Arabidopsis thaliana: one gene and its partners. The protein of the gene in region 2 interacts with the protein of the main gene of each other region in a pairwise test. Each region holds a gene or a part of one and is shown on either strand. Other genes may lie near its edges.

Region 1 (3,741 bases), on a different chromosome or scaffold from region 2:
CCAGTAATAGGTAGCAAATCTATTTCATATCCGTTTAGTTCTTTCCATCTCTGATTCCGTCGAACCACAAAATGCTAAAAAAAAGTTTATGATTTATCCATGGTTATGATTCTGCGCTCTATAAATGACTGAGATTCTGTCTTATGTTTGTATGGAGGAAGCATTATTCACAGTTTGTGACTTACTTTGATGTTAAAATAAGAATCTATATAACGTTTTTGTTGTTTTGTGATTACGGTTGGGCAGAAAATCTATACGATGTGTTTGTGAACATAAGAGATGATGAAGCAGAACACTGCAAGACAATGAGAGCTTGTCAGACTCTAGGCAGTCTGCGTTCTCCACACTCCATTTTAGAAGATGATGATACTGAAGAAGAATCAGGGTGTGTTGTTCCTGAGGAGGCTCATTGCGAAGGTATTGTAGACTGCCTCAAGAAATCCATTACAAGTTAATAAATTAGAAAGTAAACTAAAAAAGATTATTTGTATCAGCTCATGAACAATAGATATAATCCCATATACTTGGGAATAAAGGAATAATGTGAAATTCCCATCGTTGTGCTAGTGTGTGAGAGAATCAAATACCCTAATGATGTAAATGTACTTTGATGAGCTTAAGTCGTTGTAGACCATTTTATCCATACTACTAGCCTTTGTGGTTGCATTGTCGGTTTCTTCAATTCTTATTTCACAGGAGTAAAAAAAATGTTTAAAAGTACAAAATCATTGAATGTATCATTCTCTCAAAAAGCATATTGGTATTAGCGTTTAGAATCTCTATATCCCACACTTTTATTTTTATTGGTTTTGTTGGGGAGAGTGTGGCGCAAAGACGACGTCGTCTATGCGAACATTTCACGTGGGAAAAGCCTTGATTCATGCGCCTTCTTTAATTTTTCTTCTTTTTTTTTTTTTTTTTTTGTCTCTTCTTTGCCTTTCACTTTTTAAAATGATTTTCCGCGGGTTTAATAACAAAAATGTTTTCCCGCCAGAAAGGTTTTACCAAAAAACCATGTTCCGGTTATAGCACAGGTAAGAGAATTCATCAGTCTAGTATAATTAGCAGTAATCAAATTCGAATACTTTGATCGTCGCTTTTATTTCAGAGTTAGCGTTACATTAATAGTACCTTTATTCGATTGATGATTTGTTTAATCTTTAATAGGGTTTGAACTCCGATGGAGGACCTTTTTTGTTGGTAATATTCCCTTCGTTTCACAATATAAGTTGTTTTAACTAAAAATACGTATATTAAGAATATTTATTTTTAAAATGTTCAACCAATTATAAAAAAAACTGTAGAATATAAATAATCATAAAGTATTAAAATAATATATAATTTGCATAGAAACTTGAAAACAACTTATATTATAAAACAAAAAATTTGGTATAAAACAACTTATATTATGAAACGGAGGGAGTATAAACTTAAGTACTAATTCGATTTTGTTTCTATTCGAGACCTTGAAGACTTTTTTATTTAATTTTAAAACTAAGTCGTACAGTTACAGAAACAGCATTAAATTTTTCCTCTTAAGTAAATTTATTTTTTCTCTTTCTATCAGAAATTCAGAAGAACTAACATTATAGTTGCCCCCATTGCGTACACTGTACATCATTTCTCGGTAAATTACACATAATTATAAGTTGATTAACCTTTTAAGTTTTAAACAATGATGTAAGTAACTTATTAAAAATTGGTTTTTAAAAATTGAAAGTTATATACTCAAGTTGGAAAAATATTTTACAAATATACTCGATTCCACTACTACTGTAATTTTGTGTGGAATACCAGTCAAACAGAATCGTTATAACTGTTAAAAATTAGTAAAACTGTATAAAGTAATTTTAATTCGCGGGAAATCAATATTCGGAAGCAACTTTAACAAAAAAAATAAAGAAATGTGAAGAGAAAAAAAAAACTCTGAAAACTTCCTTTATAATGTCATCATCACTGCGAGACCCAAAGATCTAAACAGTTTCTCTCTCTCCCTCACAGGGCTCTCTCATGGCGGAGCTAATCTGTCTATTTCACTGGTGATTCTGTTTCACTATCTGAGAATTTGTTTAGAGTTTCCGTTACCGAGTCGATGATGAGTGAACTCGATCTCGGAACGAGTCAGAGGATGACGGAAACACACCGCACGACGACGACGTTTCTTGATTTGCTCCGACGACAGATGAGCGGTCACGATCTCACCAGAAGGAAACGGACGTTAAAAGAACGGTTGAGATTCAAATGCATCGGATGCTGTGGTCCAACCTGGAATCTCCGTCTAACTAACAACACCACTCTTCACAGTCCAACCTCAAGAGACGACGAAATCGAAGAGTTACAAATTGAAACCGGACTCGTTCTCGAATCGGATCATGGATCGGGTACGGGTATGAATCTCGCGACAGCGTTAGAAGCGGAGAGGTATAACCGTGGAGAATCGACGGAGGCGGAGGCAGATATGACGCCGAGGAGAGTTTCGTTGATGAGATTGTTGGAAGAGACGGCGGAGAAAATCGTTGATGACGACGGGAAAGAAACGGAGATATTAACGGCGTCTATTGGGACGTTAACGGGTAATGATTCGGTGTGTTGCGTGTGTATGGGAAGAAAGAAAGGCGCTGCGTTTATTCCATGTGGTCATACTTTTTGCAGAGTGTGCTCTAGAGAATTGTGGCTGAACCGTGGATCGTGTCCTCTTTGTAACCGTCCGATCATTGAGATACTCGATATTTTCTGAAAACGATCGGACGGCTAAAAGTTCTCGATCCACGTGAGTAAGTGAGGTGATCCCTAGATACGTTTCCAAAGTTTTAACTACGGTTTGTGTACTTTGTACGTTTCTTTTGGTTATTGAAGAAGATGATGTAAATGCAAAAAAGAATACAAGAGGTTTTTTGTTCACGAGGCCCATTTAGTCTATTCAAGCCCAGTAAACCGTTATTTTGGATTTTATCTAGCCTAAACAATGCTCGCCTCACACCGTCGAGTGGATTCTTGGCCGTTGATCTTGTCTCTCACGTGGCAGTATCGTAGTCGAATGTACATGATCTATGTGGAATAGTCGATATTATCCCTCTTGGTGTGAGTTTGGTAGTTGATGAAAGCAAAACATTTACGTAACAATGTCTATAAAATCAGTACAGGTCTATTCTTGTTCACTAGCTTCGAAATTTTAGTCGAAGAAACAAAAAAAAATGGCGACGGTACAATTGTCCACCCAATTTAGCTGCCAAACCAGAGTTTCAATCTCACCGAACTCTAAATCTATCTCCAAGCCTCCGTTTCTGGTACCGGTGACCTCAATTATTCACCGCCCGATGATCTCCACCGGAGGAATCGCTGTTTCCCCCCGTAGAGTTTTCAAAGTCCGAGCCACAGATACGGGAGAGATAGGATCAGCTCTATTGGCGGCGGAGGAAGCAATTGAAGACGTGGAAGAGACGGAGCGGCTAAAGAGATCGCTCGTGGATTCGTTGTACGGAACAGATCGAGGTTTAAGCGCATCGAGCGAAACCAGAGCTGAAATCGGAGATCTAATCACACAGCTCGAGTCTAAGAACCCTACTCCAGCTCCGACGGAAGCTCTTTTCCTTCTCAACGGCAAATGGATCCTCGCGTAAGTTTTTTTCCGGTGAAAACTTTCTCTTGTAGTCCTGTAGATAGCATCATTCGTAGGATTCTGGATTCAAATGGTAGATCTCGTGCTGCTTTTGATTTGGTTAAACCTCTTTTGCAGCTACA
Region 2 (4,763 bases):
ACAACATGTTGAAATCAATTTTACTATTAATTTTTGGCATACAACACGTTTTATGTGTAATTTGGAACAAGGACCTAACTATAAACATTATCAGAAATTTACAGCATACAAGGTTTCCGGTTTTATGGTTGAGGAAGGCATATAGGACTAGAGAGCAAGAGAAGATGGAATCTATTTAGACAAAGAAAGCGGCAAACATATTGGAAAATCGATTAATTTGCATAAAATGTATGATTGGTTAAATTATGTTTAACAATCTACCTAAGAACAAAAAATATTTTATCTTATCATCTTGAAACAAGAAAATTTACCATTCTTCTTTTCCTTCTTCCCCTTTTCTTCTAGTTTTTATCATTCAAAAGCAATCTCATAATATTTGGTTTTAATACATTTCACAAACCATCTCTAATAACAAAATTCAAATTTCTTGAAATCCCAATTGTAATCATAAAAACTAGTCACAATGGCTATTACGAGAGGCTATTTAAAGGACAATTTCGATTATAAATCCAAAATGTAATTCAAATCCGAATTGTAATCATAAGAAATCCTAATTGTAATCAAAATTTTATCCAAAATCTATCCGTTTCACCCAAAATCAAAGAAAAAAGGATCAAACCATCAAATCTAATATGAAATAAAATCCTAATTAAATACAACACAATCAATAGAATGAAACCTTAAATAAAATCCTAATTAAACACAACACAATCAATAGAGTGAATTAAAATCTTAATTAAACACAACACAACATAATGGTTGGATCGTAAATAAGTGAAAACCCCTTGTTTTATTTGTCTTTTACTATTTTTTGGAGAAAAAAAACTAGATAAACATATTTTTTTTTTTATAATGGGAGCTAAATAGAGAATGTTTTAACCCGAGAGGCCCGAGTAGATTAAAATCCGAATTCAACCTTTTCGGCCAAGAAGAAGAAGAAGGAAATGGCGATTTGCATGTGTTGCGATTCACATCTTGTAAAAAAATCGATTATGAATCCATGGAATTTGCGGAGTAGAACGAAACTAGGGTTTGTACTGGTCGTTTGCCGTTTTCCGACTACTACTACTTTCAAGGCTTCGGCGGTGGATTCACCTGAGAGTTCTTTAAATTTCACCAAGCATATGGATCAAGCTTGGATAATCTCACAGGTTCGTATCTTTCGAGAGTTGTTGAGTTTGTTGAATTTGAGTAATCACAAGAACGTTATTACAAGAACAAAATGTATAAACCTAATTTAGTTTGTCTTTCTCTACTTAGTTGTTTATTGTACTTTACAAATTGTCTATTACTTTTAAAAACAAATACTTTATTTACTAATAGGTTACATAGATAGTATGATATGATTTATAGAATAACCAGTTTATTATTGAGGATTTTTTTATGCACAATTGAATTTCTTAGTTATCATTTGATCTTTCACATAAGGTTTAATATTATCTACAACTGGTTACTTGATTTTATCATTTTTTTCATAATTCAATATTAATAGATTTATGTATATCTAATATGATTATTATAAGATATTATGCCATTTTACATACTATGCCAACAATAGTAATACAAATGTGTGCATATATAAAATCTGAAACACAAAAGCCAATAACAAAGCAAAAATCTAAATATCTACCCAAAAAAAATGAAAAACTGTTTAGTCTTTTTTATTCGTTTTTAGTTTTTGCATGCTTGACCATGTATTCGGCTCTGGAATCAGGATCACCAACGAACTCAAATTCAATAAACTTCTCAGGATTGGATGTTATTCCAAAGATGACAAATTTGGTCCAAAAACAATACCAATCGGCAAACATGTTGAAATCAATTTTATGATTAATTTTTGGCGTACGACGCGTTTTATGTGTCATTTGGAACAAGGACCTAACTATAAACATTATCAGAAATTTACAGCATTCAAGCTTTCTGGTTTTATGGATGAAGGAGGTATATGGGACTGGAGAGCAAGAGAAGATGGAATCTATTTAGACAAAGAAGGCGGCAAACATATTGGAAAATCGATTAATATGCATAAAAGTGTATGATTGGTTAAATTAAAAATATTTAACAATCTATGTAAGAACAAAAAAAAATGTTATATTATCATCTTAAAACTAGTAAATTTATACATAGAAAAAAATTATTTTCTCAATCATATAAGCAAACCAAAAACAAACAAGCAATCTGGATTTTGTTTTGACTGTAGGAAGAATCCAAGGAATTGTAGAGGAGATAATGAGTTGGTTTAAATCATTGAATCAATCATTTTAGCAAACAAAAAGATCCAACTTTAATGGGCCCAGGGTCCAATAACCCAATTGGGTTATTCCTAGACTTTTCTCCTCCTCCTGTTGTCTTCCAATTTGGTATGCGAGAAAAATAAAATAAAATAAAAATAAGCCAAAGACAAATTTAAACCTCCGATTTCAACCTTCTCGGCGAAGAAGAAGAAGAAGAAGAGAAAATGACGATTTGCATGTGTTGCGATTCACATCTCGTAGCGAAATCGATTCTAAATCCATGGAATTCTCCTAGGATAACGAAGCTAGGTTTCGTACCAGTCGTTCGCCGTTTTCCAGCTACTACTACCGTCAAGGCTTCGGCGGTGGATTCACCTGAGAGTTCTTCAAATTTCGCCAAGCGTATGGATCAAGCTTGGATTATCTCACAGGTTCGTATCTCCAGAGAGTTGTTGATGTGTATAATTTTGTTGAATCTGAGTAATCACAAGAACTGATCCTTGATGTAGTCATGTACGAGTGAAGAGCTATATGCAATTTTGTATGAGATTAAGAACTTGGATCTGTGATGAAATGTTGTAAATTTCAGATTATGAGGTGAATAGTATCAGCAAGTTTCAAAAGGATTTGTATCGAAAATCTGTAATTGCAAAGTACCTTTTAGTTGGTTTCTAGCAAAAAATGTTTGTTCACAATTCATTTGATTTGTGCATATGATGAGAACATGTTAGCTACTTAATCAGGTTGTAGCTGTTCTCTATGATCCCTGAGTGATGAGGCTTAAGCAGGCTTATCTCGCAACGCAATGTAGTTTTGTAGCTTTGCATGTACAATTGTTGGATTCTCTGCTTTTTCTCTAATATTGCTCTTAGAGAATCTATCAAAAGTTCAGACTTTGAAGCCTTTCTTCTAGCACTTGCAATTTGATATTGAGCTCGTGTGAATTTTCTAGATGTTACTTGTTGACCTGTGTTTCGATTCAATGATTTTCTTTGTCTGTTTTTTTCTTCACTGCAGCAACCAAGTCCTGTTGGATGTTCATCGTGCAATTCAAAGGGTCATGTGGAATGCAAATGGTGTGCGGGTACAGGATTCTTCATCCTTGGTGATAACATGCTTTGCCAGGTTCCCTCAAGGAATACTTCATGTGTAATCTGCTCTGGACAGGTTTGTTATCTAATAAAAACGAAAGTGCAGACACATTATTGTGTCTTCTTGTTTATATATCTTCCCAAGTATGAACAAATTCGATTCTTTCAATGGTTTTAGGGTTCTGCTAGCTGTAGCGATTGCAAAGGAACGGGGTTTCGTGCCAAGTGGTTGGAAAAACCTCCAGTGCCAACATAACTGATGAACAAAAGCAAGTTAAGCTTTTTGGTCTTTGATGATTTCTTATGGAGGAAAAATGTTTATATATTGATTCAAGTGGAACATGAATCAGATATGCATATATCTTTATACATGTGTTAAGTATATATATGTAAGTTCATTTATTCATTTCCCCTTGTTCTGTCTGTACAACCAAAGGCCTACACAAGAGTTCTTGTAATCGACACGTGAGTTTTACGATTTCGATCATTGGAGTAGCTCAACGGAAGAACATTAGTAGCACAGGGTCACCTTCGTATTTCTTTTGATATTTTCTCGTTGTAGGGTTAAATCATGTGCATCTTCCTTACCCTTGATGAATCTGGATATGGCGTTTCTCTAATAGAATTGCGATTATCATCATCTTAGATACAGTTTGTGCCTAACAAATCCAACCTAAGCTAGTTACTTAATCATTTTCTTTTGGGGAAGTGAAAATGGCATTTGATTTCAGGATAATTCTTAACCAAAGCTGCTAAGTGAAGAACTTGTGTCAGTGTGCATTCCATTTCCCAAGTGATGAGGAAATCTTCAAAAGTGTTCATGTCTAGAGTGTAAGAGGGCACTCGAACACAGTGGTTCGCCGTTTCCTCCATTATATATACCTCTACTTTGCCCCTTTTAGTTTTACTTGTCACAAAACTTTCCAGATACATATTTACTGCACAAAAACTAAATTATTTTGAGTAAAAATTACCAACGCACCAGCAGGTTATTTTTTTTTATTTTTTTTACGGTGTATTGAAGAAAATTTCAAAACTACATAATCGTAAATAAGAGTTTTATTAAATTTTACACAATTAGATGCATTTTTTCATCTGATCCAACTTTCTATATCTCTTCTTTTTTGTGAAACTGTATTTTTAGAAAAATAATGTGTTTTTGACGGAAAATTTGGTGGATTGATTTGGGTTAACCCCTTTTGACACCCCTTAGTTCCACTAATAGTTTTTTTATCCTACACATAAATTTCTATAAACTTTTGTAATCAGATATAGTCACATACATATGGTAGTAAGAATTAACTAATAGGCTATATCTGAAAATGGAAAATGGAAACCGTCTTTTTAATAATGAGCTCAACAAGAGGATTTTCTAGATGCTTGATATAATCGAAATATTGAATACACCTAATGGCTTCAGAAAATATAATATTGTTTC
Region 3 (4,495 bases), on a different chromosome or scaffold from region 2:
GGATTGTTTAGAATCTGGTTGATCTAGAACTTAGCTGGTTCAAGATCATTAGATGTTGTTGCATCATACCAATAATATTATCTTTAGATCTCTGTTTCTGATTAGATGGTTACATCCAATTATTTCTCTAAAGTCTGAGACATCATTGATATCTAACAATCAAAAACTAAAAAGTGAAGTATTAACATTTTAATCAGATTCAAACCAGAACTTATCAGTCATCAAAAATGTTGGCAAATAACAAATCAAACTTAAGTTTTTGGATGGAGAAAGCAAGCTAGATTCGAATCTCTAAGAAGCGTGGACTTGGACTTGTTTACGACCTGAAAAGATGTCATGATTATCTCATGATTACGAGATAATAACATGTCTTATCTACTAAACTAATCTAAAAAGTAGTGAGGATGACTTGAAACTTAAGTCTTATATGAATTATCTTTAAATATAGAAAAAGAAAGGAGATAGAGAGGTGTGTTTTTCATGTGAACAACTTTTTTTTACCTTTAGAGTACTTCCAGAAGACTTATTGGGTCCTTAATAAAAGTAGACCAAATTATTGAAGAGCTAAAAAAAAATGCCTACTCAAAATATCCAAACCTCTTCTTTTAGCCTTTTGTTTTTTTCAATATTCATACTAATGTAAACTACAATCATTGTATCATTCTATAATCATATGAATTTTTTGTCAACACCATGCATTATGCTAGTTTAAATTTAGGTGATGATATAAAGATATTTTAAGTACAAATCAATAGGGGCGATGTTCTTATGTCTTTATCTAACTTTATGAATTTGTGTTTTATATATTATGAAAAATTGGAAAAGAAGAGATGGCCTACGCTCAAGACCAATTCCTACCAATGGGCAATGGTGTTGAAATCTGAACAAAAAAATTTCCTTTCTTTAACGTTAGCTTTAAAGTTCAAAAAACTTTATTTACTTTTTCAGTGATAATTCTGTATAAAATAACATATAACAATGAGGAAAAAACTCAATAATTTGAATCGCTTATGACTTTATTTCTCCAAGTGCTTGACTTTTAAAACCCTAATGTCCAATCTCAACTAAAGTCAACCTTTTTCGTTCGTCTAGAAGAGTCAGTCATTAAGTTTCAATTGAAGTATACAGTAAATTATTAGTACTTTTTATTTTATTTTAACCACAGTTCATTGGCTGTATGAGATTTCTGTTCAAGAAAACATATAAATCGAAACCAAAGCAAAAGACATTATTTGCTTCGGTTTCTTCTACTCAAGCTCATTTTTAGTAAAACTAAATTGTATTTTCATTTTCTTAAAAAGTTAATTGTTTTTTTTGTAAAATCAGTTTTACCAAATTGGACACAATAATGAATATATGTCTATGTCTAGTTTTTTTTAGCTCAGAATATATCTTATGTGAATAGAATCGTCTATCAGATATTTTTGTGATGCAGATAGAACTTACCGTTATAGAATCATTTGTAGATTGTTCATCGTGATTGTTAAGATTAGATTCCCATTTGTAATATAACAGAAACTCGAAAAGTACTTATATTAAGTATTAACGATGTATCATGTGACCAAAATAGAAAATACTACGTAATGATATGATTATTAAGCGAGTGTGTAGGTAATTCAAATATTTCAATTAATCAATCTTTGATATCACTCTTTAGAGTAATGTATTATCTTTCTTATTGTTTTACCCTGGGATTAATAAGTTTACCGGATCCGGAGTAGAATTTCTTCGGTTTGGCAATTTTGTTCACCTACCATAACGAACTTTTACCCTTATACTTAGTTTCAATCTACTTTTGGTGCATCCTTTCATTTTCAACTGCAAAGAAGTAGTTAAAAGATCCAATACATAATATATTTAATTTATCATAAGTAACTTAGTGTAAAGAAAGACTAAAGTACTTTTTAAAATATGTATTTGTATTTCCCGATGTGAAAGAAAAGAAAATTGAATTTGCACATATCAATAATATTAGCTAGGAAAAAACTTGTGAGAAATTTCTTTGACGACTTGCGTGTGCAATAGTCTTCCTTATCTTCTCTACCATTTCTTAATTCCACTATTGTATAGTATTTACTTATGTTGAATTAATAAATTAAAACATTTAAATTTCCCTAAAGTTACTTTTTGATTTTTGATTTTCTATTTTTATTACAACTTTCCTACTTTTTGACATCTTTTCTTACAAAGACTTTTTGACATCTCCCCCTCCAGCTATTATATAGTCTCCTTTTTTCTTTTCTGCATTCACATAATATTTCCCCTATATAGTTTACACAACATCATACCCACCAACATATATAATCTTGATCATAGAGAGATAAACAGAGGCCGCTATCAAGAACAAGACTAAGAACAAGACTTCACTAGGAGTACAAGTATGGGAAGAGCACCGTGTTGTGACAAAGCAAACGTGAAGAAAGGGCCTTGGTCTCCTGAGGAAGATGCAAAACTCAAATCTTACATTGAAAATAGTGGCACCGGAGGCAATTGGATCGCTTTGCCTCAAAAGATTGGTATTAATAAATTTATAGTCACTCTTTTTCATATAAATTTGATAATTCTCTCTTGATCTATCTCTTTTTTTGTGAAGAAGTATTGATAACTAAAGATGCTTTTTGTTTATATGATTATTTCTTGGTTGTTTTAAGGTTTAAAGAGATGTGGAAAGAGTTGCAGGCTGAGGTGGCTTAACTATCTTAGACCAAACATCAAACATGGTGGCTTCTCTGAGGAAGAAGAAAACATCATTTGTAGCCTTTACCTTACAATTGGTAGCAGGTACTATTCATATACGTTATTCATGTATATATCGTTAAAATATCATGTGGAAACTCTGAAATATAGTTATGTGATGATGTCTATAATTAAAGGTGGTCTATAATCGCTGCTCAATTGCCGGGACGAACAGACAACGATATAAAAAACTATTGGAACACGAGGCTCAAGAAGAAACTCATTAACAAACAACGCAAGGAGCTTCAAGAAGCTTGTATGGAGCAGCAAGAGATGATGGTGATGATGAAGAGACAACACCAACAACAACAAATCCAAACTTCTTTTATGATGAGACAAGACCAAACAATGTTCACATGGCCACTACATCATCATAATGTTCAAGTTCCAGCTCTTTTCATGAATCAAACCAACTCGTTTTGCGACCAAGAAGATGTTAAGCCAGTGCTCATCAAGAACATGGTCAAGATCGAAGATCAAGAACTGGAGAAAACAAACCCTCATCATCATCAAGATTCAATGACAAACGCTTTTGATCATCTCTCTTTCTCTCAACTCTTGTTAGATCCTAATCATAACCACTTAGGATCAGGCGAGGGTTTCTCCATGAACTCTATCTTGAGCGCCAACACAAACTCTCCATTGCTTAATACAAGTAATGATAATCAGTGGTTCGGGAATTTCCAGGCCGAAACCGTAAACTTGTTCTCAGGAGCCTCCACAAGTACTTCGGCAGATCAAAGCACTATAAGTTGGGAAGACATAAGCTCTCTTGTTTATTCTGATTCAAAGCAATTTTTTTAATTATAATAATATATTATTCTTAAGATGAAACGTACATCATTATTATTAATTGGGGGTACGTAACGTATATATGGAATAACGATCTAGTTTGTTTAAATTTATTGATATCTCATATATCTGGATTTGAAATTAACTCTAATATGCAGAAGTATGAACTCATATGCGAAAGATCCTAGCGAAGTAATCACATTTAGATAAACAAAATTTGTTATTGTTACTTTTTTTTTTTTTTTTAAAGTAAGAACGTGTAATATGCATGTATGTATATATGTATGGATGCCTATGTGAAAAGAGTTAACACTTAAGAGTATATTGTGCATGATGTGTTACGTTTCCATTATGTATACAATATGATAATACATAAATTTACACGCATAATATACCTATTGGGCGCAAAGTTATACACATTTTAAAATGGGAAAATATTAATGGTGCTTTTGGGGCCTTGGCATATGAGCTGATTATATATGGTCGGATCCATATGTACGTGGTTGGATGTATTGATTGTATATATGCTTCTTTAATTGATTGTATGTTCATCCTACTTTTTCGAATAATTTATGTTTACCTCAATGTCGGATTGTGCGAAGCATTTAGCTGGAAACCATTGATGTTAATAATAAGTAAGAATTAACATAGATGGATTTATAAGGATATAAGAATTAATACCTAACCATTTGACCAATGAAAAGTTTGGATCACCAAATAAATGAATTGTGTGCAACTCTGAACTTCTCAAAGACATGACCTCTCTATTCCTAGCAAGTCACTAGTCTGTTTCTTATTTCCTCACAGAATCAAATGATGATGTCATACGAAAATTCTCTTTCCCTTACGAGTTTGGCACATTCGTTGCCTATTCAAAAATCAAATCAAATTTAGAAAGTCCTAAAATGACACTGTCGCTTGAAATATACGTATAAAAACTCTCGCTTCAAAAAATCTTTTGTTGATC

The links. The genes of interacting proteins can lie anywhere in the genome.
Region 1: the proteins of AT2G24860 (region 2) and AT4G22250 interact in a two-hybrid assay, tested with the Arabidopsis thaliana proteins (one large-scale study listed by BioGRID).
Region 3: the proteins of AT2G24860 (region 2) and MYB84 interact in a two-hybrid assay, tested with the Arabidopsis thaliana proteins (one large-scale study listed by BioGRID).

The regions. Positions count from the first base shown.
Region 1 is NC_003075.7:11,766,681-11,770,421, reverse strand, and holds AT4G22250 (RING/U-box superfamily protein), read left to right. Parts: upstream 1-1,858; 5' UTR 1,859-2,092; coding exon 2,093-2,737; 3' UTR 2,738-2,967; downstream 2,968-3,741. Other genes in the region: IM (Alternative oxidase family protein), read left to right, coding at 1-10, 247-455; AT4G22240 (Plastid-lipid associated protein PAP / fibrillin family protein), read left to right, coding at 3,195-3,616, 3,737-3,741.
Region 2 is NC_003071.7:10,585,936-10,590,698, reverse strand, and holds AT2G24860 (DnaJ/Hsp40 cysteine-rich domain superfamily protein), read left to right. Parts: upstream 1-2,282; 5' UTR 2,283-2,458; coding exon 2,459-2,665; intron 2,666-3,251; coding exon 3,252-3,401; intron 3,402-3,503; coding exon 3,504-3,581; 3' UTR 3,582-4,056; downstream 4,057-4,763. Other genes in the region: AT2G24880 (Plant self-incompatibility protein S1 family), read left to right, coding at 1-145; AT2G24870 (Plant self-incompatibility protein S1 family), read left to right, coding at 1,125-1,151, 1,899-2,039.
Region 3 is NC_003074.8:18,425,561-18,430,055, forward strand, and holds MYB84 (myb domain protein 84), read left to right. Parts: upstream 1-2,174; 5' UTR 2,175-2,380; coding exon 2,381-2,516; intron 2,517-2,651; coding exon 2,652-2,781; intron 2,782-2,873; coding exon 2,874-3,540; 3' UTR 3,541-3,721; downstream 3,722-4,495. UniProt on the Arabidopsis thaliana protein: Transcription activator. Positively regulates axillary meristems (AMs) formation and development, especially during inflorescence.